Linked DNA regions of Stegostoma tigrinum. The protein of the gene in region 1 purifies or fractionates together with the protein of each later gene. This does not show direct contact. Links are inferred from orthologs where the notes say so. Each region holds a gene or a part of one and is shown in the gene's direction. Other genes may lie near its edges.

Region 1 (7,142 bases):
TTCCCTTCAACCACCACCCTCTGCCTTCTTCCAGCAAGCCAATTTCTGATCCAAACTGCTAAATCACCCTCAATCTCATGACCACGTATTTTATGCAATAGCCTACCGTGGGGAACCTTATCAAATGCTTAACTGAAATCCATATACACCACATCAACCACTTCACCCTCATCCACCTGTTTGGTCACCTTCTCAAAGAACTCAATAAGGTTTGTGAGGCATGACCTACACTTCACAAAACTGTGTTAACTATACCTAATCAAATTACTCCTTTCTAGATGATTATAAATCCTATCTCTTATAATCCTTTCCAACACTTTATCCACAACTGAAGTAAGCCTCACTGGCCTGTAATTACCAGGATTGTCCCTCCTCCCCTTCTTGAACAAGGGAACAACATTTGCTATCCTCCAGTCTTCTGGCACTATTCTTGAACATAATGGCGACATAAAGATCAAAGCCAAAGGCTCTGCAATCTCCTTCCTAGTTTCCCAGAGAATCCTAGGATACATCCCATCCAGCCCAGGGGACTTACTTTTTTCACACCTTCCAGAATTACTAACACCTCCTCCTTGTGAACCTCTATCCCGTCTAGTCTAATAGGCTGTATCTCAGTAATATCCTCGACTACATTGTCTTTTTCATGTGTGAGTACTGTCGAAAAGTATTTATTTAGCGCCTCTCCTGTCTCTTCAGACTCCATGCACAACTTCCCACTACTGTCCTTGACTGAACCTAATCTTACTCTAGTTATTCTTTTATTCCTGACATACCTATAGAAAGCTTTAGAGTTTTCCTTGTCCTACCTGCAGAAGACTTCTCATGTCCCCTTCTGGCTCTCCTTAGCTCTCTTTTTCGGTCCTCCTTGGCTAACTTGTAATTCTCAAGCACCCTAACTGAGCCTTCACGCCTCATCTTTACATTAACCTCCCTCTTCCTCTTGATAAGAGATTCAACTTCTTTAGTAAACCATGGTTCCCTCGCTCAACCACTTCCTCCGTGCCTGACAGGTACATACTTATCAAGGACACGCAGTAGCTGTTCTTTGAACAAGCTCCACATTTCAATTGTGCCCAGCCCCTGCAGTTTCCTTCTCCATCCTATGCATCCTAAATCTTGCCGCATCTCATCGTAATTGCCTTTCCCCCAGCTATAACTCTTGCCCTGTGGTATATACCTATCCCTTTCCATCGCTAAAGTAAACATAATCAAATTGTGGTCACTATCACCGAAGTGCACACCTCCCCCAAATTTAACATTTGGCCTGGTTCATTACACAAAACCAAATCCAATGTTGCCTCACCTCTTGCTGGCCTATCTACATACTGTGTCGGGAAACCCTCCTGCACACATTGGACAAAAACTGACCCATCTAATGTACTCGAACTATAGGATTTCCAGGCAATATTTGGAAAGTTAAAGTCCCCCATAACAACTACCCTGCACCTTTGCTCCTATCCAGAATCGTCTTGGCAATTCTTTCCTCTACATCTCTGGAACTTCTCAGAGGCTGATAGAAAACTCCCAACAGGGTGACCTCTCCTTTCCTGTTTCTAACCTCAGCCCATACTACCTCAGTAGAAGAGTTCTCATCAAACATCCTTTCTGCCACTGTAATGCTGCCCTTGACTAACAATGCCACACCAGCCCACTTTTACCACCTTCCCTGATCTTACTGAAACATCTAAACCCTGGAACATGCAACAACCATTCCTGTCCCTGCTCTATCCATGTCTCTGAAATGGCTACAACATCGAAGTCCCAGGTACCAACCCATGCTGCAAGTTCAACCACCTTATTCCGGACGCTCCTGACATTGAAGTAGACATACTTCGAACCACCTTCCTGCCTGCCGGTACACTCCTGTGACCTTGAAACCTTATTTACGACTTCACTACTCTGAACCTCCAGTACACTGGAGCTACAAATCAGGTTCTCATCTCCCTGCTGAATTAGTTTAAACCCTCCTGAAGAGCATTAGCAAATTTCACCCCCAGGATATTGGTACCCCTCTGGTTCAGTTGTAGACCATCCCTTTTGTTGAGGTCCCACCTACCCCAGAATGACCCCCAATTATCCAGGTATCTGAATCCCTCCCTCTTGCATCATCTCTGCAGCCACATGTTCAACTGTTCTCGCTCCCTATTCCTTGCCTCGCTAGCATGTGGCACGGGTAACAAACCAGAGATAACAACTCTGTTTGTTCGAGCTCTAAGCTTCCACACTCACTCATTGAATTTCTGCCTCACATCCCTATGCTTTTCCTATCTATGTCATTGGGGCCTGTGTGGACTACAACTTGGGGCTGCTCCCCCTCCCCCTTGAGGATCCTGAAAACACGATCCGAGACGTCACAGACCCTGACACCTGGGAGGCAACACACCGACCATGAGGTCCCACAGAATCTCCTATCTGTCCCCCTAACTATGGAGTCCCCAATGACTAATGCTCTCCTCCTCTCCCCCCTTCCCTTCCGAGCAACAGCGGCAGACTCTGTGCCAGAGACCTGTACCCCATGGCTTACCCCTGGTAAGTCATCCTCCCAAACAGTATCCAAAATGGTATAGTTGATATTGAGGGGAATGGCCACAGGGGATCCCTGCACTGTCTGCCTGTTCCCTTTTTGTCCCCTGTCTGTAGCCCATCTACATTTTTCCTGTACCTGAGGTGTGACTACCTCTCTGTAACTCCTCTCAATTACCTCCTCAGCCTCCCAAATGTGTTCCCCAAGGGATTTGAGTATTTTTCCCACTTATTTCTCTTTTCAGAGAAGGTCAGAAGCCATACGACACCAAATTATAGCCCAACTAGTTTATCTGAAATCAGAAGCTTTTGAAGCACAGATGAAGTGAAGAGAAGCACCGAGGCACAGAATTTATTGGCAGAGAGATCAAGAGATCTGACAAATGCCAGGCTGAATAACAAGTCTCTGGAACAAAAACAAAGTTGCTGGAAAAGCTCAGCAAGTCTGGCAATGCCAGTGAAGGAAAAAACAGAGTTAACGTTTCAGGCCCAGAGACCCTTCCTCAGAACCAGGCCTGAAACTTTTCCAGTGGTTTTGTTTTTGTTACTGATGTACAGCACCTGCAGTTCTTTCGGTTTTTAACAAGTCTCTGGAGGTGATCAAAAGTGTCAGATGGTGTGAGTGTCAACAGCTGAATAGCAAGTGAAGGGATGACCTATAATCTGATTAATTGAGGCAGAGAAATAATTACAAAAAATTAAAAGTAAGATGGTGAGTTTGGAGATTTAGGGTCCCCCAATGGGGTATGAGAGTTCACTGTTTGGATTCCTGGGTTTTGGTCTACTTCCAAGGGGTTTGAGGATTTGAATTTTACCCCCATGGGATTTGAGTGTTTTTCTCTTTAGCAAGTTTTGAGAACATTTGTAGCTCAGGTTGAGTTTCTGGATGTGAGTTTGCTCGCTGAGCTGGAAGGTTAGTTTTCAGACGTTTCGTCACCATTCTAGGTAACATCATCAGTGAGCCTCCGGTGAAGCGCTGGTGTTATGTCCTGCTTTCTATTTATCTGTTTAGGTTTCCTCGGGTTGGTGATGTCATTTTTCCTCTTTCTTTTGGCAGGTTTAGGGGCAGCGGGATGCTTAAAGATTCCCCATAGGGTTTTGAGAGTTCAACTTGTTTATTTTGGGGAGAGGTTAGGGTCTCCATAGGGTCACACGATGAGGGTTGAGGATTCACCCCTTGTGGTTGAGGGATTCCCACGGGGTTTTAGGATTCAGCCCATTTGTAGATGTTTGGGTTGGAAGGTTCATCTACAGGTTTTTGGAGTTTGAGGGTACCCGGGGGGGTTCAAGACTTCACCCTATGGGGTTTTCAGGTTTTGGGGTATTCCATATAGTTTGAGGGATCACCCAGAAGTTTTGTGGTTTTTAGGGTATTCCAGGTAGCTTGAGGATTCATCTGAGAGTTTTTGTGTTTTTAGCGCATTTCTAGGAGGTTGAGGATTCACCTGGGAGTTTTGGGGGTTCTTCGAGTATTGCAGGGAGTTTGAGGGTTCACCTCGGCGTTTTTGAGGGTTTTTACGGTATGCCTGGGAGTTTTGGGCTGAGGGTTGAACCATTTACTGGGATCCTGTTGCTGCAGTTCAGTCTCCGGCCACAGGGGTCAGTGCTGGGCAGGTGCTGACGTCAGCCTCTCCCTCCCTCCTTCTCTCTGTGTCGGCCATGGCGCGCCCGGAGCAGCTACTCGTCTTGGAGCCGCCCAACGAGCTCAAATTCCGAGGTAAGAGGCTGGTGCTGGGCTTGTTCAGTGTCATTTCTAAGGGCAGGCCACCCGTGTGCGGACTCCCTTCAAATTAGAGCCGCACCGGAACAGTTCAGGCGGCCGCTGACGCCGGCGATGGGAGGAGGGATCGGCCCGTCAGTGGGAACGGCGGGCAGGGGGGAGGCCGGGAACAGCAGGCAGTGCCCACGGTAACAGCTCCTGAGAATGTGGCATTGGCCTCTGGGCGACCGACACCCCAACCCTTGACACCACCCCACAATCCCCCTGTAACCCGCCCACCTCCCCACACCCCCGTAACTCATATCCCCAACATATCCCTTCCCCCCACCCCCCCCGTCCCCTCCTCTCCCCCCCCCCCCCCGTCCCCTCCTCTCCCCCCCCCGTCCCCTCCTCTCCCCCCCCCGTCCCCTCCTCTCCCCCCCCGTCCCCTCCTCTCCCCCCCCCGTCCCCTCCTCTCCCCCCCCGTCCCCTCCTCTCCCCCCCCCGTCCCCTCCTCTCCCCCCCCCGTCCCCTCCTCTCCCCACCCCCCCCGTCCCCTCCTCTCCCCACCCCCCCCCGTCCCCTCCTCTCCCCACCCCCCCCCGTCCCCTCCTCTCCCCACCCCCCCCCGTCCCCTCCTCTCCCCACCCCCCCCCGTCCCCTCCTCTCCCCACCCCCCCCCGTCCCCTCCTCTCCCCACCCCCCCCGTCCCCTCCTCTCCCCACCCCCCCCGTCCCCTCCTCTCCCCACCCCCCCCGTCCCCTCCTCTCCTCTCCCCCCCCCGTCCCCTCCTCTCCTCTCCCCCCCCCGTCCCCTCCTCTCCCCCCCCCGTCCCCTCCTCTCCCCCCCCCGTCCCCTCCTCTCCCCCCCCGTCCCCTCCTCTCCCCCCCCCGTCCCCTCCTCTTCCCACCCCCCCCCGTCCCCTCCTCATCCCACCCCCCCCCGTCCCCTCCTCTTCCCACCCCCCCCCCCGTCCCCTCCTCTTCCCACCCCCCCCCCCGTCCCCTCCTCTTCCCACCCCCCCCCGTCCCCTCCTCTTCCCACCCCCCCCGTCCCCTCCTCTTCCCACCCCCCCCCGTCCCCTCCTCTTCCCACCCCCCCCCCGTCCCCTCCTCTTCCCACCCCCCCCCCGTCCCCTCCTCTTCCCACCCCCCCCCCGTCCCCTCCTCTTCCCACCCCCCCCCCGTCCCCTCCTCTTCCCACCCCCCCCCCGTCCCCTCCTCTTCCCACCCCCCCGTCCCCTCCTCTCCTCTCCCCCCCCCGTCCCCTCCTCTCCTCTCCCCCCCCCGTCCCCTCCTCTCCCCCCCCGTCCCCTCCTCTCCCCCCCCCCCGTCCCCTCCTCTTCCCACCCCCCCGTCCCCTCCTCTCCTCTCCCCCCCCCGTCCCCTCCTCTCCTCTCCCCCCCCCGTCCCCTCCTCTCCCCCCCCGTCCCCTCCTCTCCCCCCCCCGTCCCCTCCTCTTCCCACCCCCCCCCCGTCCCCTCCTCTTCCCACCCCCCCCCCGTCCCCTCCTCTTCCCACCCCCCCCCCGTCCCCTCCTCTTCCCACCCCCCCGTCCCCTCCTCTCCTCTCCCCCCCCCGTCCCCTCCTCTCCTCTCCCCCCCCCGTCCCCTCCTCTCCCCCCCCGTCCCCTCCTCTCCCCCCCCCCCGTCCCCTCCTCTTCCCACCCCCCCCCGTCCCCTCCTCTTCCCACCCCCCCCCCGTCCCCTCCTCTTCCCACCCCCCCCCCGTCCCCTCCTCTTCCCACCCCCCCCCCGTCCCCTCCTCTTCCCACCCCCCCCCGTCCCCTCCTCTTCCCACCCCCCCCCGTCCCCTCCTCTTCCCACCCCCCCCCGTCCCCTCCTCTTCCCACCCCCCCCCGTCCCCTCCTCTTCCCACCCCCCCCCCCGTCCCCTCCTCTTCCCACCCCCCCCCCCCGTCCCCTCCTCTTCCCACCCCCCCCCCGTCCCCTCCTCTTCCCACCCCCCCCCGTCCCCTCCTCTTCCCACCCCCCCCCCGTCCCCTCCTCTTCCCACCCCCCCCCCGTCCCCTCCTCTTCCCACCCCCCCCGTCCCCTCCTCTTCCCACCCCCCCCGTCCCCTCCTCTTCCCACCCCCCCCCGTCCCCTCCTCTTCCCACCCCCCCCCGTCCCCTCCTCTTCCCACCCCCCCCCCCGTCCCCTCCTCTTCCCACCCCCCCCCCGTCCCCTCCTCTTCCCACCCCCCCCGTCCCCTCCTCTTCCCCCCCCCCCGTCCCCTCCTCTTCTCCCCCCCCCCTCCTCTTCTCCCCCCCCCTCCTCTCCCCCCCCCATCCCCTCCTCTCCCCCCCCCCTCCCCTCCTCTCCCCCCCCCCTCCCCTCCTCTCCCCCCCCTCCCCTCCTCTCCCCCCCCCCGTCCCCTCCTCTCCCCCCCCGTCCCCTCCTCTCCCCCCCCCGTCCCCTCCTCTCCCCCCCCCGTCCCCTCCTCTCCCCCCCCCCGTCCCCTCCTCTCCCCCCCCCCGTCCCCTCCTCTCCCCCCCCCCGTCCCCTCCTCTCTCCCCCCCCCCGTCCCCTCCTCTCTCCCCCCCCCCCGTCCCCTCCTCTCTCCCCCCCCCCCGTCCCCTCCTCTCCCCCCCCCCGTCCCCTCCTCTCCCCCCCCCGTCCCCTCCTCTCCCCCCCCCGTCCCCTCCTCTCCCCCCCCCCGTCCCCTCCTCTCTCCCCCCCCCCGTCCCCTCCTCTCTCCCCCCCCCGTCCCCTCCTCTCCCCCCCCCGTCCCCTCCTCTCCCCCCCCCGTCCCCTCCTCTCCCCCCCCCGTCCCCTCCTCTCCCCCCCCGTCCCCTCCTCTCCCCCCCCCGTCCCCTCCTCTCCCCCCCCCGTCCCCTCCTCTCCCCCCCCCGTCCCCCCCCGACGCTCCTCCCCCCCCGACGCTCGTCCCCCCCTCCCCCCCCGACGCTCGTCCCCCCCT
Region 2 (7,978 bases), on another chromosome or scaffold:
ATCTTCATACTTACTAAACACTCTTCTTAGACACTACATTATTGGTCTGATGTGTATCACAACTTCTGGCACAGTCCCTTACCCAAAGCACATTCTGAAACCCTCTGGAGACTCTGTCAGGCTTAAAAACAGGGAAATCTCCTGACCTGGGAGAATTGCATCCCAAATTGTTGTGGGACACTAAGCAGGAAATTGAAAGGGCTCTGACACAAATTTTTAATGCCTCTGTGGCCACAGGGGGAGTGCCAGAGAACTGGAGAAGAGTTAATGTGGTTCCACTTTTCAAGAAAGTTGGTTGAGATGAACCAGGGAAATTACAGACTGGTGAGTATCATGTCATGATAGGGAAACTATTGGAGAAATTTTTTAAGGAGAGAATTAACATCCACTTGGGAAAAGCATAGGTAAATTACAAACAGTCAGCATGGCTTTGTCAGAAGGAGGTCACAGAATTTTTCAAAAATGTGATCAAGTGTGTGGATGAAGGAAGCTCAGTTGATGTAGTTTATACAGACTTTAGCAAAGCATTTGACAAGGTCCCACAGGGGAAACTGATTATGAAGATGATGAGATGGATCAGAAACCGGCTTCGTAATAGGATACAAAGAGTAGAAGTAGAAAGCTGTCCAAGTGACTGGATGCCAACTTCCAGCAATACGCCACAAGGATCAGTCTGAGACGCATATTGTTTGTTATATACATAAACGGGGGATGTTAAGCAAGTTTTCAGACAACACAAAGGCTGCTGGATGCTCAATAGTGAAGAAGATGGTTGTCAGTTACAGGATTGTTTTCTCAAAAATAGAGGAGGCTGAGAGGGAGATGATTGATGTGCATAAGATTATGAGGGGTATGGGCAGGGAGAGTAGAGAGCAGCTATTCCCCTTGGTTGAGGCTTCAATCACAAGAAGGCCCACTTTTAGCATAAGGCGCAGCAGATTCAGACAGGGTTTGAGAAAAAAGCTTTTTCTCTCAGAGGGTGGTGGGAATCTAGAAAGTACAGCCCAGGGAGGTAGTGGATGCTGGCAACCTTACAACCTTTGAAAAATGAGATAACAAGGTGTAGAGCTGGCTATATTTCTAATCTGGGGAGGGTATTCCGATAGAGAAGAGATAGTGATGATAAGTAGCCAGTGAAGTTAGAGTTAGACATGGTGAGTTGAGATGGAGATTAAAATCATTGAGGATAAGAAGACATTTGTTGGAGAGTCCAAGGGAGGAAACTACAACGAGCCTGATGGACCTAGAGATCAAAGAAATAGCCAGAAAGGGAGGCTTCAGCCATAAAAAAGGTGTCATTATCCCGGACAGATGTTTCCATCAAGGCCACTGGTAGCATATAGTCATTCACAATAAGCTGACAGATGGTCTTTTGCAGAAGTGAACAGGCATTCTGCAGGGAAATGGGCATAGGGACCATGAGACAGTTATCACCCTCCCTGGTCACCAATATCAATCTTTTCACAAATGTAGAAGAGAACAGAATCCCTACAGTGTGGATGCAGGCCATTCAGCTCATCAGAGCTGTCAGAACTCCTGTGCTCCACCTGTTCTTTTTCCTTTCTTTTTTTCTCCTCTACCCTCAGCACTGAAGCTGGCAGCAAGTCCAGAGCAGTGAGCCCTCATGCCCCAGAACACTGTCAGCAGCGAGCACAGGAGCTGCATGGAGAAGAACTCCATAGCAGTTTGTGGGGAAGCAGCCATGGAGCATCATGTGGGCAGAGAGCACAAGCTGGAGGTGTGACTGGTAGCAGATGGGAGAAGGCAGCCTGAGGCGGCTGATGGAGGGGCCCTATCCCCAGAGTGACGGAGGGGCCATGTCCTAGGGCGTCAGAGGGGCTGAGAGACACTCATAGTGGCACGGCGTAGGCTGGAAGCCTGCAGCATGACTCTGGTGGCGGCATGCAGTAGCAAAGGTGAAGGGAAGTTTAGACCCTCTTTAAGTTATTGTGTTTTTACTATGTGAACAGTACATGCACAGAGCGACAGTACATGCTTTTCACTGCATTTTATATTCAATCCACCATGAGAATAAAGGAAATTTTAAAAAATCAAGACCACACCGACCTTTCAAAGGACAGCCACACTGAGCCCTGCCGAATCTTCACCATCCCCGCAGACCTCCCACTGACTGAGGATGAATGGTCAGTCCCAAGCAAGGGGCTCACCTTTGTCCCCCTCCACCCACACATCAACGAATACCAGTCACGTTTGGACATCGAGTATTTTTTCCACCGCCTTCTCCTCCACGCTTACTTCTTTAACCGGGAACCTAACCCTCCCTCCACTGACCCCTTCACCCGCCTCCAACACAAGTCCTCTTCCTGGACACCAACCCCAGGCCTCCTACCCTCCCTCGACCTCTTCATCGCCAACTGATGTTGAGACATCAACCGCCTCAACCTCTCCACCACTCTCACCCAGTCCAACCTCTCCCCCGCAGAACGGGCAGCCCTCCGTTCCCTCCGCTCCAACCCCAACGTCACCATCAAACCTGCAGACAAGGGAGGCGCAGTTGTAGTATGGCGCACTGACCTCTACATTGCCGAGGCCAAACGCCAACTCTCCGACACCTCTTCCAACTGCCCCTTGATCATGACCCCACCCCTGAGCACCAAACCACCATCTCCAATACCATCCATGGCCTCATCACCTCAGGGCACCTCCCACCCACAGACTCCAACCTTATTGTTCCCCAACCCCGCACGGCCTGTTTCTATCTCCTTCCCAAAATCCAAAAACCCGCCCGCCCTGGCTGACCTAACTCATCTCCACCTATCTGGACTCCATTTTCTCCCCCTTGATCCAGGAACTCCCCACCTATGTCCGTGACACCACCCACGCCCTCCAGCTCCTCCAGAACTTCCAATTCCCTGGCCCCCAACACTTCATTTTCATCATGGACCTCCAGTCCCGATACACCTGCATTCCTCATGCAGATGGCCTTAAGGCCCGCCGCTTCTTCCTGTCCTGCAGGCCCGACCAATCCCCCTCCACCGACACCCTCAGCCGTCTAGCCGAACTCGTCCTCACCCTCAACAACTTCTCTTTTGATTCCTCCCACTTCCTACAGACAAAGGGGGTGGCCATGGGCACCCGCATGGGCCCAAGCTATGCCTGCCTCTTTGTAGGTTACGTGGAACAGTCCCTCCTCTGCACCTACACAGGCCCCAAACCCCACCTCTTCCTCCGTTACATTGATGACTGTATCGGTGCCACCTCTTGCTCCCCAGAGGAGCTCGAACAGTTCATCCACTTCACCAACACCTTCCACCCCAACCTCAAGTTCACCTGGGCCATCTCCAACACATCCCTCACCTTCCTGGACCTCTCAGTCTCCATCTCAGGCAACCAGCTAGAAACTGATGTCCAATTCAAGCCCACCGACTCCCACGGCTACCTAGAACACACCTCCTCCCACCCACCCTCCTGCAAAAATTCCATTCCCTATTCCCAATTCCTCCGCCTCATCTCCTCCCAGGATGAGGCATTCCACTCCCGCACATCCCAGAGGTCCACGTTCTTCAAGGACTGCAACTTTCCCCCCGCAGTGGTCGAGAACGCCCTTGACCGCGTCTCCCACATTTCCCGCAACACATCCCTCACACCCTGCCCCCACCACAACCGCCTCCAGAGGATCCCCCTCGTTCTCACATATCACCCCACCAACCTCCGGATACAACACATCCTCCTCCGACACTTTCGCCATCTACAATCCATCCCCACCATCCAAGCTATTTTTCCATCCCCACCCTTGTCTGCCTTTCGGAGAGACCACTCTCTCCGCGACTCCCTTGTCCGCTCCACACTCCTCATCAACCCCACCACACCCGGCACCTTCCCCTGTAACCACAGAAAGTGCTACACTTGCCCCACACCTCCTCCCTCACCCCTATCCCAGGCCGCAAAATGATTTTCCATATTAAGCAGAGGTTCACCTGCACATCTGCCAGTGTAGTATACTGCATCCATTGTACCCGGTGTGGCTTCCTCTACATTGGGGAAACCAAGCGGAGGCTTGGGGACTGCTTTGCAGAACACCTCCGCTTGGTTCGCAATAAAAAACAGCACCTCCCAGTCGCGAACAATTTTATAACTCTCCCTTCCATTCCTCAGATGACATGTCCATCATGGGCCTCCTGCAGTACCACAATAATGCCACCCGAAGGTTGCAAGAACAGCAACTCATATTCCACTTGGGAACCCTGCAGCCCAATGGTATCAATGTGGACTTCACCAGCTTCAAAATCTCCCCTCCCCCCACTGCATCCCAAAACCAGCCCAGCCTGTCCCCTCCCCCCACTGCATCCCAAAACAAGCCCAGCTCATTCCCTCCACCCACTGCATCCCAAAACCAGTCCAACCTGTCTCGGCCTCCCTAACCTGTTCTTCCTCTCGCCCATCCCTTCCTCCCACCCCAAGCCGCACCTCCATTTCCTACCTACTAACCTCATTCCGCCTCCTTGACCTGTCCATCTTCCCTGGACTGACCTATCCCCTCTCTACCTCCCCACCTATCTTCTTTACTCTCCATCTTCAGACCACCTCCCCCTCTCTCCCTATTTATTCCAGTTCCCTCTCCCCATCCCCCTCTCTGATGAAGGGTCTAGGCCCGAAACATCAGCTTTTGTGCTCCTGAGATGCTGCTGGGCCTGCTGTGTTCATCCAGCTCCACATTTTATTATCTTGGATTCTCCAGCATCTGCAGTTCCCATTATCACTGATCTCAATGTACATGTTCTGGCAAACTGAGGGACACCGCCTCACTCTGATTGGACCATATGTGTTCGCTCTGATTGGTCAGCGCTGCCTGACTCTGATTGGTCAATGGCCTCTCGCACTGATTGGTTGACAACCCTTTATTCTGACTGGCCAACACTCCAAGAGCTCGTTCATATAGCTTCATTCCGATTGGTCAATGGACGGAGCTGTGACCTTTAACCTTCCTGTTCTCTATCCCACTCTCCTTCTCCGTGTCTCCCTGTTTGATTGATTTGGCGCTTGGTTCTGCCCTCAATTCCTGTGGCCTAGTGCGCGTCCTGACTCGGTGCTGGATTGTGGCGGTGGGGCCGGGACCAGAGCGGGTGAGAGGCCGGGGTAACGTGGGGGCGGTGTAGGCGGTAACTGGGTAATGGTGGGGGTTTATGGTGAGGGTCGAGTGGGCCGCGGGCCACACGGGCGGAAAGGGGAACTGCCTTCCCCCCCCCCATCAGATCCCTCTGGGCGCGGGGGTCAGACCCGAACCGGGGTTACATTCCGGCAGGTAGGTTGCGTGTTTGGGGGCTGACACGTGCCTGGGTGCCTTATTTTGTTGACTTTTATTCCAGTGCTGAGAGAAGGAATAGGAAGGCATTGAGACTCCTATTGTGGGTGAAGGCCTGTTGCAGGATGAAGGGACATGATGAGACCTTGGGAGCTGCTCTGGGGCAAGGACCACCCAGGGACTGGTTGTGCTTCAAGTTACTGGAACCAGTGACCCCGGTTCTGAGGGCCACCCGACCCAGAACGTTAAACTCTTGATTTCTCGCTTTGTAAAGGAAGGTGTTCTCGGTGAAGGGGGGGGGGGGGGGGGAAACCCAGCCTTCATGAATATTTAGCCTAACTGCCAATTCTTTTGCTAATTACATACATGAATTTAAATGTGCAAAGTGTGATAAATAAGGTTGATAGATTGTAAGCACAAACAGCATTGTGACAATATAATATTTTTTTCCCTCCAGAATGGAGGGTGAAAAATTGAGGACTTAGAGTTTAATATTCAAGGAAATTGAGTGTTCAAAAAAAGTAGAGCATTGAGTTAAAGAAGTCATTGTAACCATGGAAAGAGGGTCTGCCCTTGAGGCAAGGATACAGTCTATTTGGTTAGTGTCAACAAGGTATGATCACACTATATGATATTCTATATGCCTCAAAATGATGAGTGATGCACATCTGCAGGGAAATCATAGGGATGTGCAAGAGCTGTGGATTAGTGCTAATGGGCTGCTTTAATTTCACTGCAAATCAATTAGTTCAATGTTACAGTAAAGGGTGTGGAGGATAAATTTGAAATGAGCTTTTGGTTGGGTTTCTGGAGCAACTAGAAGAGGGCATTGCTAAATCTTGTGTACTGTTTGGGGGGAGCACTTGGGTAAGAATCTTCATTGTAAGAAGGCTTACATTAATGAGGGAGAAGAGGCAGGAACAAACAAAAGAAAATTATAAGACAGCTAGTTTAACTAGAATGCGGGCAGAGGACCATGGTACAGTGGAACCAGAGACTTACAGGAAAAACTTTAAGGGAACTATTAAGGAATAACCCTTTGTAAGATGCTGTACTAAGGCACAAGTAAATAATTCTTACTCTTTAAGGCAGAAATGTTTTAGGTACAGGCTTAGTGCAATCTAACATGGGTGAATGGTAAGGGAATCAATGTCAGGCCTCCCTTGATGATGAAGTAACTAGAGAAAATCATGAAATGAGAAGTTTGTTGCATGTTGGGTAAATTCTTGAAGTGAGAATCGAATCATATACACTCTGGAGGGGAGAGTTCAGGAAAATGAGACTGCCAAAGAGGGAATGTTTTAACAGTAAAAACCTCAGGCTTAAAAAAAATTCAAAGCATGTAGTAAAGGGTGAAGTGGGACCTATTAGAGAGAAAGAGCATTACATATGGTTTAGAGGAGCAGGGACACACACAGTAAGTACTTAATATTGATGGTTATGAAGTGAATTGATGCTGACAAAATATCAGTGGAGCAGATACAGTGGTAGCAGTAAATAGGCTGAAAAATGATAGGCAAGTTGGATGGAAATGTTTCTAGGCTAAGAATGCATCACTCACTTGGTTTGTATCTCAGATTTGTTAAAGGTAGTAGACGTGGAAATAGTGCAAGTCTTTAACCTGCCTCAGATATGCTGAGAGGCCAGAAGTTTAGTAAGTGTCACCTTTTTTATTCAGGAGAGTTTAAGGGCAGTCCTGATGGCTCTAGTCAGCTAGTTTAGCATCAATAGTGGGTAGGGTTAAAGAAACGATAATCACTCGGACAGATTTGAGGTAACTAAGGAACTACAATGCAAGTTGGTAAAAGATGTTTTGCTTGACACTTCCAAATGAATTTTATCAAGTAACAGGCAATTGCAGCGCTGACAGTCCAGAAACACGAATGCTTGAGACTCCATGCTCACAAGGTGCTGAGCCTCGAAGAGCCTATAAGAAACGCTTGTAAATTGCTCTTGGCTCTGCCACTTCTGAGATTTGCAGCCAGTGCCACTGTTAGGGCATTTGTTGGGAACCAAGCACACATTGTTGCTTGTTTTTCCCCACATATCCCCATTGTTTCCAATGGCACTGATTTAATGAGGCCACAGATCAAGTGTAGATTGATGTTTTGAGTCAGTTAAGAGAATGCTTGTGTATAACTGCTGTAGCTGCAACTTAAAATTAAAAAAACATTGGCAGTAGAAATACAATTCTGTGGCTTTGATGCAAGTGATTTTTAAGTACATAATGCATTATCATATCACACACTAATGTACAGTAGAGAATGTAATGTACCCTAGTTGGTTGGTTGCCTGCTAGTCTATTGAAGGTTGATCGGCACTGGGACGATCACGAGAGGTATTTCATGTCAGCCGGAGCAGGAGACAGTGAGCAGGCTACTGGGAACTCCAAGATATCCAGGATGACTGGTCTAGGCAGATATTGCTTTTCTTGGGGGAGTCAGATTTTCAGGATGTGGCTTCAGTCTTAGGTCAGTGATGTAACATGCCAAGAAAAGGATCTGGTCAGAATAGAAGCAGCCTGATGGAAATGGGAATTGAAAATTGATGTCTTCAGCAGGCCTGTCAGTATCTAATAGTTTCAACAACAGCTGTTAACCAGAGTTTGTCCAGTGCAATTGAGAATGTCTTTGAGATGGGAAATGTGGGCATTACGAGTACAAGCCAACCAATTCTACACGGTCTGTTAATGTTTGGCAATGGTGTGGAGCCTTT
Region 3 (7,803 bases), on another chromosome or scaffold:
TCTTCAACTGCTGCAGTCCATGTGCTGTAGGTTGACCCACAATTCCCTCAGGGAGGGAAGAAATGACGATATATTTCCAAGTCAGGATGGTGATTGGTTTGGAGGGGAACTTTCAGGGGATGGTATTCCCATATCTATTGCTATTATCCTTCTAGTTACCATGGGTTTGGAAGATGCTGCCTCAGGATCTTCCTAAACAAGCTAGCTCTAATATTTCAGATATGTCTCCTAGTTTTAGACTTCCCCAGCCTCAACCTCTGCTCACTTCTCTTCCCTCCTTTGCCATCTTCCCCTTCCCTCCTATCCCCTCCCCCTCCTTTCTACCCAGTGTACAATCCAACAAACAGTATCAAACTTCCATGACTCACTGGTTGTCCAACAGCTCATGATAAAAATGTCTCACGGTGATCGAAGGAAAGGGAAAAATCATGAAAAATCTTAGACTTGTTGCATCCAGGCACACTTTCCAGCTGGTTAAAAACAGAAGCTTTAGCAGAATTTTAATGATCCAGAGCCACCAATGTCAAAAGTGTGACACATTGATGTGGCCATCCAAGTTTGGAATCATTGACATACGGTTGCAACATTCAGAAAGGTGAATTAAATTTTAACCAGAAAATAAAGGTTTAAGTCCTGTTCCTTTGGCAGAATGATTCCAAACCTGGCACTGAGAGGAATTTCTGTGAAGCTATTGGACGGGATAGACCATACCCCTCTGACTATGACCCCTCTTCCCCATTTTGCAAACATAAAACATAAAAAGTGATCTGACCAAGCTTCCCCAGAATGTGGATGCGTGAACAACAACACATCTTTAATGTTAAAACTTATCAAGACATATCTAGCAATGTTATCAAACAACATTTGACACCAAACCTTTTGGAGATATAAGAAGAGACTGATCTGACATATGGGTTTTAAAGGTGCATCTTGAAGGAGGACAGTTTGAGGATCAGACGTTAGGAAAATCATGAAGTGGAATCAGGATATGTGTTAGATTGGAATTGGGAGTGCTGAGATCGTAGAAGATTGTGGATTTGAAGGAGGTTAAGGAGATAAGACTATGGAGCAGAAACAAAGTTGCTAGAAAAGCTCAGCAGGTCTCGCAGCATCTGTGGAGGAGAAAACAGAGTTAACGATAACTGCAGTCCGGTGACCCTTCCTCAGAACTGCAGTTAACGTTAACTCTTTTTTCTCCTCCACAGATGCTGCCAGACCTGCTGAGCTTTTCCAGCAATATAACAAAGTGTGAGGCTGGATGAACACAGCAGGCCCAGCAGCATCTCAGGAGCACAAAAGCTGACGTTTCGGGCCTAGACCCTTCATCAGAGCTTTACCAGCAACTTTGCTTTTGCTCCTGATTTACAGCATCCCCAGTTCTTTTGGTTCTTATTAAGACTATGGAGTAATTTGGACTCAAGTAGGAAATACATGCTATAATTTCAGAAATGTAGAAGACTTTTCAAAATAATTGCCACATTACAGCAGTGGTGCGCTGGTAACATACTTTATTAGAACAAAGAACAATACAGCACAGGAACCGGCCCTGTGGCCCTCCAAGCCTGAGCTGACACATTTTGCCCTTTCATACTAAAACTGTCTTCAATTCCAGCATCCATATCCCTCTATTCCCTTCCTATTCGTGTATTTGACCAGGTGCTTCTTGAATGGTGTCATTGTGTCTGCTTCCACCAGCTCCTCCGGCAGTTCATTCCAGGCAGTCACCACCCTTTGTGTGGAAAAAGTGCCTCTCACATTTCTTTTAAACTCCCCCTCCTAACCTTGAACCTGTGTCCCCTTCTAAATGAACCATCCACCCTAGGAAAAATCCTCCTACTTTCCACTCTATCCATCCCATTCACGATCTTATAAACTTCTGCAGGTTGCCCCTCAACCCACTGCATTCCAGTGAAAACAAACCTAGTCTATCTAACCCTTCTTCATAGCTAAAATCCCCCATACCAGGCAACATCCTGGTAAACCTTATCTGTACCCTCTCCAAAGCATGCACATCCTTCTGGTAGTGTGATGACCAGAACTGTACACTATATTCCGAGTTGTGTCTAACTAAAGTTTTATAAACCTGCAGCATAACTTGTCTAGAACAAAAACAAAGTTTCTGGAAAAGCTCAGCAGGGCTGGCAGCATCTGTGAAGAAAAAACAGAGTTAGCGTTTCGGGTCCGGTGACCCTTCCTCAGAACAGCGTTCTATTGAGTTCTGAGGAAGGGTCACCAGACCCGAAATGTTAACTCTGTTTTCTCCTTCACGGATGCTGCCAGACCTGCTGGGCTTTTCCAGCAACTTTGTTTTTGTTCCTGATTTACAGCATCAGTCATTCTTTCAGTTTTTATTAACATAACTTGCCTACCCTTATACTCAATGCCCCTTCCAATGAAGGTAAGGATGCCATAGGCCCTTTTTACTGCCTCATCTCCCTGCGCTGTCACCTTCAGTGATCTGTGGACCTGCACATCCAGATCCCTCTGCATATCAATGCTCCTAAGGGTTCTGCCATTCGCTGTATAACTTCCACCTGTACCTGACCTTCCAAAATGCATCACCTCACATTTGTTCAGATTAAACTCCATCTGGTTTAAGAAAAACTCCCATATTTCTGCCCATGCCTCCAACTGATCTATATCCTGCTGTATCCTCTGACAATCCTCCTCACTGTCTGCAATTCCACCATTCTTTGTACTGTCTGCAAGCTTACTAATTAGTTCAGCTAATTTTCTCCAAATCATTTATGTAGACCACAAATGGCAGAGGTCCCAGTATTGATCCCTGTGGAACACTGGTAGTCACTGTCCTCCATTCTGAAAAGCATCTTTCCTCCGCTACCGTCTGCCTCCTATGACTAAGCCAGTTCTGTAACCATCTTGCCAGCTCACCCCTGATACCATGTAACTCCACCTTTTGTACCAATCTGTCAGGCACAATGTCAATTGGAATTAAGAACATTGAGATGTCATAAGCAGTGTTATATAGGGTTGCTAATGCTCTAGACAAGGCCTGGAGTCTCAGGAAATTGAAGATCAATCTACAGGACACTGCCTTTATATTCATCAAAAGATGATACAGATCAAAACTTAAGATGCTTGCTATGCTTACATTGATGAATCTTTATTCCACAAAGCAAAGTCAATTATTCTGGAATTTCCTGTTGGTGTCCTTTCCATCTCCTCTATTTTTCTCAGAAGCTTTGGATTCTCACACCTTTAGTATTGCCCATTGTGTTGTCACTGCTGTGTGCAACCTCTGGAGATAAATCAAAGCATTGATTTTTTAATTTTGTTTTTATACATTTCCCTTTGCCAGATGCAAAAATATTGAAAATTTGGGGGAACAAAGTCTGTTTGGGTGATAGTCAACCCACACAAGGAGGAAGGCAGTGTGTCAGAATGGCAAGTATCATCATCGTTCAATCCCTACAGTGTGGAAACAGGCCCTTTGGCCCAACAAGCACACACCAACCCTCACAGCATCCCAGACCCACCTGCCTATAACCCACCTAATCTACACCTCCCTGCTCACTATGGGCAATTTAGCACGGCCAACACATCCTAACCTGCACATCTCTGGACTATGGGAGGAAACTGGAGCACCTGGAGGAAACCTACACAGACATGGGAGAATATGCAAACGCCACACAGGGTGGAATCAAATCCAGGTCCCTGGTGCAGTTAGACAGCAGTGCTAACCACTGAGCCACCATGCCACCCCATGTGTATGCGCTGCCAAATGTCTGATGAATAGCTGGAAATTGGTTTGCTGGGGACATGTGCAAGTCATGCAATGAAACCATCAAGAATAGATTTAGTCACAGAGGCAATACTAAATAAATGCAAGTTTGTCTTATCCTACTTTGTTTTAGTATGGCTTTCCTGTTCTTTGTGTAAGCTCATTAGGCCAGACCTGTAGGTTTCTTTGAACAATATTTATTGACATTAAAAACATGACAATATAGAAGCTGATTTCCTCTAGTTCCAACTTCTGGCAGAGGCTTCATGACATGACTACCGAGATTGCAGTTTCACAGCATATCTCAGAGGCTTATGTTCATTCAATAACGCTATCGCTACACTTCTCTGGTTTAAAGCGGACAAACCCAGGTCTTCCAGTATTTCCATGTAATTGAAGTTTCTTATCTCTGGTAGCTTTCCAATCAAGTGCTTTGACATTTCCTTCCAAAAGTGGGCTGCCCAAGATTGTACATAGTATTGCAGAAGAGCCATGATGTGTGATTTATCAATTTGTTTATTGCGGTTTATTAAGATTTAGCAAGAGTTATTCTTTTTCATGTTCTGTGCTAAAATATGAAGAATTTTCATGCGAGTAACAGATTTTGATATTGTCTTGCCACCTTCAAACATTGTCTGTCCAACAAATGTACCATTTAGTCTATTTTGCTAGGCATGTTGTGTGCAGTTATTGTAAAAGTTGATTGCCAGGTAATAAATTTGGAAATTATTTGTGAATGTTTGGAATATGTGAAATCCCCAAATTGGAATTGCTGTTAAATGGTCAATTTTTTTCCCACGGGCGGGACCGATGATTGGTTCCCTAACCGCCAATCAGTACTCTTTCGACCAATGAATGACCACGTCCCGCCCCGATCACGTGACCCACCCCTGTCTTCGTCTTCAACCAAACCTGATGAGGCGCAGCGCCCGCCACCGCGGCCTTTCTATTGGTGGGATGACGTCAGGCCCGGCGGGAGCCCGTTCTCCTATTGGTAAAGGCCGCTGTCAGTCGGGGTGGGACGTCCGGCGAGCAGGTTTGGTTGTGGTCGGAGTAGGGGGGAGGGGTGGACTTGTCCTCTGATGGGGGAATGAAAAGCCAAGGGCGAGTGCTGTGCGGGTCGGTGAGTGAAGGAGGGAGGGACGGTTTGTTAATTCTCAGAATAACCCACTTGGCTCGCTGAGTAAACCTTTCTTGTAGGTAAGGTGAGAGGTTCATGTATCTTTCGGTTCCCTTCCCCCGGCGTTTGCAGGATTTAGGTAAAAGCCACCATTTCTCCTCATCCTCCTCCTCCTCATCATCAGCAGCAAAGGGTAACCGGACTCCGACCGTTATCTCTGCTTCTCCCCCTCTGTACACAGATGCCCGCCAGACCTGCTGAGTTTCTCTTGTTTGTTTCAGATCCTAGAACCCCCCCCCCTTACAGTGCGGAAAGAGGCCATTCGGTCCATCTGGTCTGCACCAGCCCTCTGATGATCACCTGCTCCTTCCCCACCACCACCATAGCTCATCCACCTAGACTGCACGTTCCTGGACGCAATGTACCATGGCTAACCCTCCTAATCTGCACACCCTTGGACTGTGGGAGGAAGCCCATGCAGGCATGGGGAGAATGTGCACGCTCCACCCAGATGGTCCCCCAAAGGGTGGAATCAAAACCGGATCGGATGGTGGATGAGCCACCTGGATCCGGCATGATCTCCGGCGTCAGCTGGTACTAAGGTTCGTCGAGCCTTTCTTACCTGGAAGCTGCATGGGACCCTGAAGAGCGAGTTGCATCCTGTCATTGGGGGCCCCCCTGTGAAGTGGAGGTTGCCCTCTCTTTCTCAAGTGCCAGTGACTAGTGTGCTGCCTCACCATGCTGAGTGATCAGTCGAAGTGGTGCATGAGCTATGACTGTTCTGCGTTCACCCTCCAAACCCCCCTTCTCTTGGTGTCCCTTCATGATCTCTCTAGCCCCCAATCTTCTGTTCATTCTCACATCCCTCTGCTTCCCCTCTCTCCCAACCGCTTCTATCCTGAAAAACCAAAGTTGTTTCTTTCCTGTTGTGGCTGCTCAAATTCTGGACAGATGTGATTCAGAAAGTGTGGATTTTCTTGGTGTCACATGGAGTGGAGAAGGTGAGAACCATACATGTGCTCAAGGGGAAGCTGGATACACAGGTGAGAGACAGCAAGAGATAGATGGGTATCCTGATGAGGGTTTGATATAGGGAATAGGAGGGGGCATACGTGTAATATACATGTCAATCTTTTGGGCTGGATGGCCTGTTTCTCTCCTACAAAATTCCGTTTAGTTCTTTGAATCTGGACTCATCTCGCAGAGTTCAATATCTCACTTCTTCAGAATTCTTTCTCTTGCTCTACACTCTGTTAACTATGCCATAGTAATCCCTTCTCTGGTAGAAATGCCCTCTGTTTCCTCTTCACATTTATAATGAGTGTGTCTGCATTATCCTTACTCTGTGGCTGTAATTGTCTTTCTATAATAAAATGTCCAAAGCAGTGTGTACATTACTCACATTCTAGCCAATGCTTTTTTTGCGTTAAATTGTTTTTTTGTTAAATATTTGTATCTCAATACCCTCTTTTGTAAACTCAAAATACTGTCGACCTATTTCTGAGTATCGTTAACCTGCACTTACACTTTTAGGGATTTTTTTTGTGTTTCAACAACTTGGACTCTTCCTTCCTGGTGGCCCAGTAGTGTTCCTCGGGGATAGTAGGAACTGCACATGCTGGAGCATCTGCGATAACAAGGTGTAGAACTGGAGGAACACTAGGCCCAAAACATCAGCCTTCCTGCTTCTCTGATGCAGCTTGGCCTGCTGTGTTCCTCCAGCTCTACACCTTGTTCTCTCAGTGTTCCTCAGGCCTACCTTTTGGAGAGTGACTGCAGCAGGCAGCCTTTGTGTCCTGTGCGGCTTGTTTGTGACGAGCTTGTAAATTAGTTATGACTTGCTCAGCCACACAACTCCTGACATCGCGACAGCCATGTCTTAACATGGACATAAACACTGAACTCCAGGGGTGAGGTGAGAGTGACTGCCCTTGACAAGAGACAGCATTTCCCCAAGTGTGGCATCAAGGAGCCTAAGTAAAGCTGGAGTTGATGGGAATTGGGTGAAAAAACAAATGCTCTGGTTATCCCTTGTACAAAGGAGGATTTTTTTAGACTGGAGACCTGTGACAAGCGGTGTTTCACAGGCATTGGTACTGCATCCATTTTTGTTTGTCATTTAGATAAACTGTTTGAGAATATAGAAAGCATGGTTTGTAAATCTGTGGATGACACTAAAATTGGTGGTATAGTGGACTGTGAAGAAGTTTATCTAATCACAAAAAGACAATATCCTGATCATCAATGTATGGAGCTGGATGAACACAGCAGGCCAAGCAGCATCTTAGGAGCACAAAAGCTGACATTTCGGGCCTAGACCCTTCTAGGCCCGAAACGTCAGCTTTTGTGCTCCTAAGATGCTGCTTGGCCTGCTGTGTTCATCCAGCTCCACATTTTATTATCTCAGATTCTCCAGCAACTGCAGTTCCCTTTATCCTGATCAACAAATTGTTCAGTTGGGTCAATGGGCTGAAGACTGGCTGACTAAGTCTAATTTGGATGAATACAAGGTATTGCTTTTGGGTAAAACAAACAAAGGGCAGGACTTATACAATTAATGGTAGGGCCCAGGTAGTATTGCAGAACAGAGGGACCTTGGGGTTCAGGTACGTAAATCTTTGAGATTAGTGTCAACAGTAGACAAAATGGTTAAGAGGGTTTTTAGCAAACTTGTCTTCATTGCTCAGACCTTTGAGGATAGGAGTTGGGATGACATGTTGAGGTTGAACAGGATGTTGGTGAGGCCCCTTCTGGTGTACTGGTCCTGGTCTCCCTGCATAAGAAAGAATATTATTAAATTGGAGGGGGTTCCGAAAATAATTACTAGGATGTTGCTGGGACTGGAGAGCTTGGCTTGTAAAAATAGACTGGATAGGCTGGGACTCTTTTCACTGGAGGGTCGGAGGTTGAGGGGTGATCTTTATAGACGTTTATAAAATCA
Region 4 (7,531 bases), on another chromosome or scaffold:
CTCAATATAAATGCAAATCCCTCCTTTAGTTCTCATGACACTTCATACAACAATTAGCATAGCATATAACAAGGCTGTTTGAAAGGAAGGACTGGTAACAGTGCCAAAGTCAGCACTTGTCACAAAACAGTGAACCCCCCTCTGCCTTTATGGTACAAAGACTTCCTCTTCCTGCTCTCTGATCACCTGAACTCATTCTCGTAAGTGTGTCTTGTTTCACTTCCTTCCTCTTTCCATTATTTTGAACAATTGTTAACGCTGAAGTAAATAATGAAAAGGGAATGTTTATCTTTCATGGATTATCAGTACATCTTGTTCTGTCAGCCAGTCATAAGAATGGACAGTCTTGGTGCAGAGTTGAGTGATGACGACATTTCCCACTGTCAATGCTGGACTTGCAACAACAGCGACAGATCCACTTATATGTTTGGGCTTCCCTCAGGGAGTGAAACCCTGTTACCATTTTAGGACTGAGACACGGGGCGGCACGGTGGCTCAGTGGTTAGCATTGCAGCCTCACAGCGCCAGGGACCCAGGTTCGATTCCAGCCTCGGGCGACTGTCTGTGTGGAGTTTGCACATTCTCCCTGTGTCTGCGTGGGTTTCCTCTGGATGCTCCGGTTTTCTCCCACAGTCCAAAAGATGTGCAGGCTAGGTAGATCGACTATGATAAATTGCCCATAGTGTTCAGGGGTGTGTGGGTTATAGGAGGATGAGTCTGAGTGGGATGCTTCAAGGGGCAGTGTGGACTTGTGGGGCAGAAGGGCCTGTTTCCACACTGTAGGGAATCTAGTCTAGAAAGTTTCAATGCCTACAATAATGCAATAAGCTTAACGATCAAGTATCCTCGGAGCACCGGCAACAAAGAAAAATATTTTGTGCTTTCATCCTGGGTTTTCACATCCCTCCATCTCTCTGGATCGCTTTAACCTCCACCAACCCACAGCTCCTCAAGATATCTGCTGGCTTCTAACTCTGGCCTCTTAAGTATTGCAAGATTCAATGACACACGCAATGGTGAGCATTCCTTCAGCTCCTGCTTGTAAAATGTTGAAACTTGTACCCTCATTTCTCTCTCCACCTGCCTCTCATCTTTTAATACCTTCCTTAAAACCGACGTCTTCCATCTGAATCATTTTGTGACTGGTGTCAAATTTCGTTTGCTGATGCAGCTGTGAAACAATTTGGGACACCTTACTGTTTTAAAGGCATGACATATATGCAAGATGATGTTGTTGTTATAAGCCTTTTTAAGTTATATTCATGAGTCAACCATCTGAATTTTGTTTTAGAAAGAGTTGACCTTTGCTGAAAATAGAGGGATGTTGTTTAAGTTTCTCTTGTTTGGCACTCATCTGGACAGAATTGCAAGAATTTCAAATTTGAAAGGGAACAACAATTTGTACTATGTGTGAAAAAGGTTTTGATTAGTTGTCAGTTCACTTCTGATTGATCTGGGCACTGCCATGGAAGAATGTTTTTATACACACATAACCTGTGTGTGTTGTACGGATGTGTATATATAATTGGTGAATCCAATTCTAAGTGCAACATATTGCCCATCATCTGAGAGACAGGAGAAAAACAGTGGCAGAGACTGATAGTGAATACACAAGCACACATTGGGTGTGATGGTACAGTAACACATGAATCAATTGGCCTTTTGTGTGCACGAAACAGGATCAGTCTGCCTGATGTAGGAATGTCACAAGCAGGTTCTGGGAGATATGCATGGCTGGGCTGGTCTCCAAGCTTGTCCAAATTAAACAAGTGTTAAATATTGTCCACACAGACAGAAGCACGGTAGAGCTGAACTGAACTGCAATCTTCTCCTTGCCAGGTACCAGGGGCCCATGAGATCTGATGACGCAGTTACCAGGTGGCTGTTAACCTCATATGCTGCACCTGAAGTTACCGTGGGTTGGTTTTTGGCTTTTTCATTCTGAACAGATGGCATCACATCTGTCACCTTTTCCTGGATGCTCACACACTGAAAACACAGACTTTCTGCTGATTATTGATTTAATCCTCCCAACCTGCATGTATGACGTGCAAAGCAACTGTCCTTTAGCACACAGTTCCCAGTGCCAGCCATGTGAAGGTGCCAGCTAATGGGTGGCAGCTCGGAAGTAAAGTGTCTGCCAAAAAAAAGTACCTGAACAACTTGTCATATGACTGAGCTGAGTCTGCAGACCGAGCTTTCCTGTTATGGACCACACCAAAACCCCTCAGAAGATGGACTAGACCCAAACCTTTTCTGATTTTGAAGCTAAATGTAAGGTGTTGTGTTCGAGATGCAATTTGTTTGTTCAGACTACTTCTGATTTATCTTCTCATTTAAAGCAAAATACACTTTATTCATCTCCTATCATTAAAACACAACAAAAGAATAAAGGAATTGGAATAACTTACAAAATAAAAACTGAAAGAACTACAGAAGTTAAAAGTCAGAGACAAACATAGAAATTGCTGTAAAAGCTCAGCAGGTCTGACAGCATCTATTAAGAGAAAACACAGTTCACGTTTCGGGTTGAGTGAGCCTTCCCTTCAGTTCTGAGGCAGGATCACTCGACCCAAAATGTTAACTCTGAAATCTCTCCACAAATGTTGCCAGACTGGCTGAGCTTTTCCAGCAATTTCTATTTTTGTCATTGGAATAACTTAACTCTATTGGAAAACTTAACACAATAATAGATACAGTAACAATTACCTTGTCCAATATTGCAACATCCCACAAACACACCCTTGGCAAAATCCAAATTCAGAACGTAGATTGTCTCATACACAACTCTATTAACAGACAGAGAACCTCTAGAATTTGGCTGTAACCGAGAGAAGGTAAAAATGCCTTTAATTTCTTCCAGATTCCAACAACAACTGCTGAAAGCTAAAACTAAAATCCCTGGTTCTGTGGATGGGAACCTGACCCCACCCTTTCAGGCCACTTCTATTGTTCCAACTGATTAAAAAAAATCCATGGCTTCACAAGTTTATCTTCTCATAGACTACCTGGTGCCTGCCGCCCAATCTCAGTCTAAAAGGAATCAAGACAAAACACACCTCTTCAAGCCACAACATTGCCAAACTGCCACAATCCAAGGAAGCATTCTCATGTGGAGGTGCTGGTTTCTGGTGACCAGGTTAATGACTTAATGCGACTGCTTGAATGCAAATACCAGACCATCTCTGAGCCAAAATGTTTCCCTTGCACTTTGTTGTCAGGGGAATAAACTTCCAACCTCAACTCAAATGGAGGAAAGTGCTCTCAACTCTACAAAGCATTTAGCCAATTTCTACCCACTTATGGGTGCTCATCCGCTTCTGACAATGGAGACTTACAACAGAGATAATGGGAACTGCAGATGCTGGAGAATCCAAGATAACAAAGTGTGAAGCTGGATGAACACAGCAGGCCAAGCAGCATCTCAGGAGCACAAAAGCTTACGTTTCGGGCCTAGACCCTTCATCAGAGAGGGGGATGGGGAGAAGGAACTGGAATAAATAAAGAGGGGGAGGCGGACTGAAGATGGAGAGAAAAGAAGATAGGTGGAGAGGAGAGTATAGGTGGGGAGGTAGGGAGGGGATAGGTCAGTCCAGGGAAGACGGACAGGTCAAGGAGGTGGGATGAGGTTAGTAGGTAGGAGATGGAGGCGCGGCTTGAGGTGGGACAAAGGGATGGGTGAGAGGAAGAACAGGTTAGGGAGGCAGAGACAGGCTGGACTGGTTTTGGGATGCAGTAGGGGGAGGGGAAGAGCTGGGCTGGTTGTGTGATGCAGTGGGGGGAGGGGACGAACTGGGCTGGTTTTGGAGATAATGGGAACTGCAGATGCTGGAGATTCCGAGATAATAAAATGTGAGGCTGGATGAACACAGCAGGCCAAGCAGGACTGACCTATCCCCTCCCTACCTCCCCACCTACACCCTCTCCACCTATCTTCTTTACTCTCCATCTTCGGTCCGCCTCCCCCTCTCTCCCTATTTATTCCAGTTCCCTCCCCCCATCCCCCTCTCTGATGAAGGGTCTAGGCCCGAAACGTCAGCTTTTGTGCTCCTGAGATGCTGCTTGGCCTGCTGTGTTCATCCAGCCTCACATTTTATTATCTGGGCTGGTTTTGGGATGCGGTAGACTTACAACAGGTTGTTTCATTCATCCAGCAGAAAGATGTCAGTGTTTAATCCTAAATTAGATGTCCAGCAAGCCCTTTTCAGACTGGACGCAGATAAATCTGTCAGCAGATAATCGCTTTAGTACCAGCAAAATGGACATTGCAACGCTTAGGCCAATACCTATCTCGTAATACAACTCACTCTTTGCCTTAGCAAAAAATGCTAACATCATTTGTTTTTAACCTGCTGTTCTGCAGCATGAGAGTAGCCAGGGTTGGGCTGGAAATCTGCAAAGAATGTGTAACTTCCTTCCTTGAACAGAAAGCAGCAGCTCGAACTCAGTGACGGAATTGCACGGGGGCATTTGGTGAATCTATATACTAATTCTGCCCTTGCTCACTGAGCTTGCTGCACACGCACTCGTCCTGCAGGGCAAAGTGCTGTCTGTTTGCGGGCTTGGAATGTGCTGGCTGGGACAGCCCATTTTGTTCCTGAGGTAGAGAAACATCAACGCGAGAGAGATAAAGAAACGCACCCTTGTGGTCAGGCATTCTTTGGGAGAAGCCTCGTGTGCCCCGGAATGTAATCACGGAGAGAAAGCCTTTACTACTTTCAGACAGCAACTTCGAACACACATCCCGCTGTAATCTGGATGAGTTTTTACCCCGCAGCCAAGTCCCAGGGACTCTCGAATTCCTCTCCAGTGACTTTATTTGAGTCTATTGTGTTTTTTTGCACTGTCCAGTTATGTGCAGCCTTGGCTCAAGGCGACGTTGCTGGCATGCGATTGGTTCAGGATCTGGCAAGAGTTCAGCAGCCCGAAGAACTCAAGCCGTCAATGCAGGAGCTGCAGTCCCACTGCAGCATTGAAGGCTCTCTGTGTCTGTGTGTGTGTGACTCTGTGAGAGCCTCTTTCAGCATCACGGGCATCTCTGCGACCACTGACAAAAAATTCAGAATGGGAGGGTCTCAGTCCCAGCACCAGCTCAAGGGAGGGGTGAGACCTTTAAAAGAGAAGGCCAGCATGTAAGTCACCCATCATCTAACCATCTTTCAGTTTCAATGCGGGAGTAACTAGTTACCAATTCGATTTTAGTCTATCTCTTTCTTTTTAAGTGTCATTTGCTCAGCCACTGCATACAGGCTTGAGTGGCTAATTCCGTTTTAAATGCAAGTGTATCATATGTGGTGTTCATCTAATGTATGTTCTGGTCAATGTGTTTTTTTCTTGTACCATCCCTTATTTTGAGAATTTATCCATGTTGCAAAGATCTGAGAACAGGGTGAGCTGTGAGTGGTATCAGTGGGAACCAGCAAATCAAGGTCAGCTTGTCTGTTCAAAAAGATTCTATCATTGTCTCGCTTCTGTTTTCATTTCTTTTCTAAAAATTATTCATGAGCCACTAGGCCTAGTCTGTTTGACATTCATTTCATTACAGGGAGGAAGTGCCCCAGTTTCCCCATCCATTCACTGAAGGAATTCTATTTTGGAAAGATGAGAATTCTGATCCAGACCCATGTTGGCTGGTCTTGATTGACTGATCCAGCTTGTGGTGCACTGCAATGTCATGAGTTTCAGTCACACTCTTGTTTACAAGAAGAAACTGCTCATGTGCCTTTACAGACACCTCTTCCAAGTTCAACTGCACCCAGCTGGGTTATATCAGTGTTCATAATTGATAATAAACTTCAAGCACTAGCATAGAAAATGTAAATCCACAACAGACTTGCTGCAGTGTTACTGCTGTTCCTTTAACCCTTTTATCTCCTCTTGTTAACTCTTGCTTTGAGAAGTACATTTTGACTGAGCTTTTACCCTGCGGAGTGGAGAATATTGAGGGATCTTTGTGGTCATGTGGCCTGCCAGGGATATTAACCTCAGGGGGAAAGAACCGGGTGACCAGATCCAATCAACAGCCGGAGCTTTTCACAAGGCCTCAAAATCACCTGACCCAGTCTGCTCCCAAGTCCATGGCAATCCCACAGTTTTGATGGAAAATGAACACTCTGGATGGAGGTAAACCTATCCCAGCATCCATAACAAGAGTGGCAGCTCTCTATTAATGTTATGCACCTCCTCTCTCAGCGTTCTTATTTGCTTTGTCAGTTTCCAAGTGAAGTGCCTGCTATTCGACAAAGGGAGTGAATTTGCAAAGAGATGTATGTCATGACTGTCGTAGATGCTCTGTTCATAAAATTACTTTGAAAATGGTCGGTTGAACAGTCAGTGTGCACTTTGCCCTTTGTCAGGCATGGTGGCTGTGTGGGGAACTGAAGAACAAGGTAATATCTCAGGGGAAAATGAATCCAACTGTTTGCTTTCAGGACAATGTGCAAGATGCAATCCAAACATGTTTTCACCTGCACCGCAACTTGTGCAACAGCAGCTCTGCTCATTGTACAGTTCCAGGCTCCATCAAGTGAGCTTAGCCCTAAAACGAGCAAGTGTTGATCTATCTTGTCTGTATTGATGGGCTGGATGACTCATTGATTATTTACATAGTGGGAAAGGGACGGGATGAAGGTGTTTCAATCAGGGAGGATGGAGACTGTTGTGTATGTCTCTTGGTCAGTATTTTGATCAGAGACAAGCTCAGGATATCATGACTATGTCACAGCATGTGGCCTGAGGGTATAAAGGTCTTGACTCCGTTTTAACTTGGGCCACTTGAAGCTTGACACGCTGATTAACTCTTTGTAACTGAATGGCTGAAGGTTAGCCCAGACATGGAAGTCACCTGTTAATGTAATATTTGTTTCGTTTTGTGAGTTGGATTAATATATGTTGGAGTTTTCATATTATGTTCCTGCATCTCAATTTTAATGTAATGAGAAGTGATGCTATCTAACATTGCTGCATCGAGATACCCTGGAAAACATGAGTCAGCAAAAAACTTGGCAGGTGGAATACAATGCGGGAAAATGTGAGGATACGTCCCTTGGTAGGAAGAACAGAAGAGCTGAATGTTATTTAAATGGATAAAGACTGCAGAAGGATTTTGGATTCCTTATGGATACAACTTCAGCAGGTAACAGTGAAGGACAATATTCGTTGTCATTTCAAAGGGAATGATGTATAAATATGGGGAAGTCTTTGCTAAAACTAGACAAGGGTCTCAGGACACCACATTTCAGAATACTGTGAACAGCTTTGATCCCTTTATTTAAGAAAAAATATACTGGCATTCAGGTAGTCCAGAGAAGGTTCACCAGGCTGATCCCAGGTATGGACGGACTGATGTATGAGGCCAGGTTGAATAGGTTGGGCTTGTACTCATTGGAGTTTAGAAGAATGAGAGACAGCTAATGAAACCTTCAAAAAGATTCTTGGGGGCTTGACAGAATTGATGTGTAACAGTTGTTTCTCTGCACGGGGAAGTGGAGGACCAGAGGACACCATCTCGGATTAAGGGGGTCATCTATTT

What was found.
Region 2: the proteins of vapb (region 1) and akap11 purify together in Homo sapiens (affinity purification with mass spectrometry; 3 studies listed by BioGRID and IntAct, counting the BioPlex papers as one, with this or other methods). This does not show direct contact. The link is inferred for Stegostoma tigrinum from reciprocal best matches to the Homo sapiens genes VAPB and AKAP11.
Region 3: the proteins of vapb (region 1) and miga2 purify together in Homo sapiens (affinity purification with mass spectrometry; 3 studies listed by BioGRID and IntAct, counting the BioPlex papers as one, with this or other methods). This does not show direct contact. The link is inferred for Stegostoma tigrinum from reciprocal best matches to the Homo sapiens genes VAPB and MIGA2.
Region 4: the proteins of vapb (region 1) and tacc1 purify together in Homo sapiens (affinity purification with mass spectrometry; 3 studies listed by BioGRID and IntAct, counting the BioPlex papers as one, with this or other methods). This does not show direct contact. The link is inferred for Stegostoma tigrinum from reciprocal best matches to the Homo sapiens genes VAPB and TACC1.

What each region holds. Positions count from the first base shown.
Region 1 is NC_081372.1:60,747,252-60,754,393, reverse strand, and holds the start of vapb (vesicle-associated membrane protein-associated protein B/C), read left to right. Parts: upstream 1-4,123; 5' UTR 4,124-4,182; coding exon 4,183-4,240; intron 4,241-7,142. UniProt on the Homo sapiens protein: Endoplasmic reticulum (ER)-anchored protein that mediates the formation of contact sites between the ER and endosomes via interaction with FFAT motif-containing proteins such as STARD3 or WDR44.
Region 2 is NC_081365.1:80,434,282-80,442,259, forward strand, and holds the start of akap11 (A-kinase anchor protein 11), read left to right. Parts: upstream 1-4,964; 5' UTR 4,965-5,084; intron 5,085-7,978. UniProt on the Homo sapiens protein: Binds to type II regulatory subunits of protein kinase A and anchors/targets them.
Region 3 is NC_081382.1:42,576,521-42,584,323, forward strand, and holds the start of miga2 (mitoguardin 2), read left to right. Parts: upstream 1-4,790; 5' UTR 4,791-4,865; exon of another isoform or gene 4,866-4,947; intron 4,948-7,803. UniProt on the Homo sapiens protein: Regulator of mitochondrial fusion: acts by forming homo- and heterodimers at the mitochondrial outer membrane and facilitating the formation of PLD6/MitoPLD dimers. May act by regulating phospholipid metabolism via PLD6/MitoPLD.
Region 4 is NC_081393.1:12,117,886-12,125,416, forward strand, and holds the start of tacc1 (transforming acidic coiled-coil-containing protein 1), read left to right. Parts: upstream 1-4,528; 5' UTR 4,529-4,758; coding exon 4,759-5,132; intron 5,133-7,531. UniProt on the Homo sapiens protein: Involved in transcription regulation induced by nuclear receptors, including in T3 thyroid hormone and all-trans retinoic acid pathways. Might promote the nuclear localization of the receptors.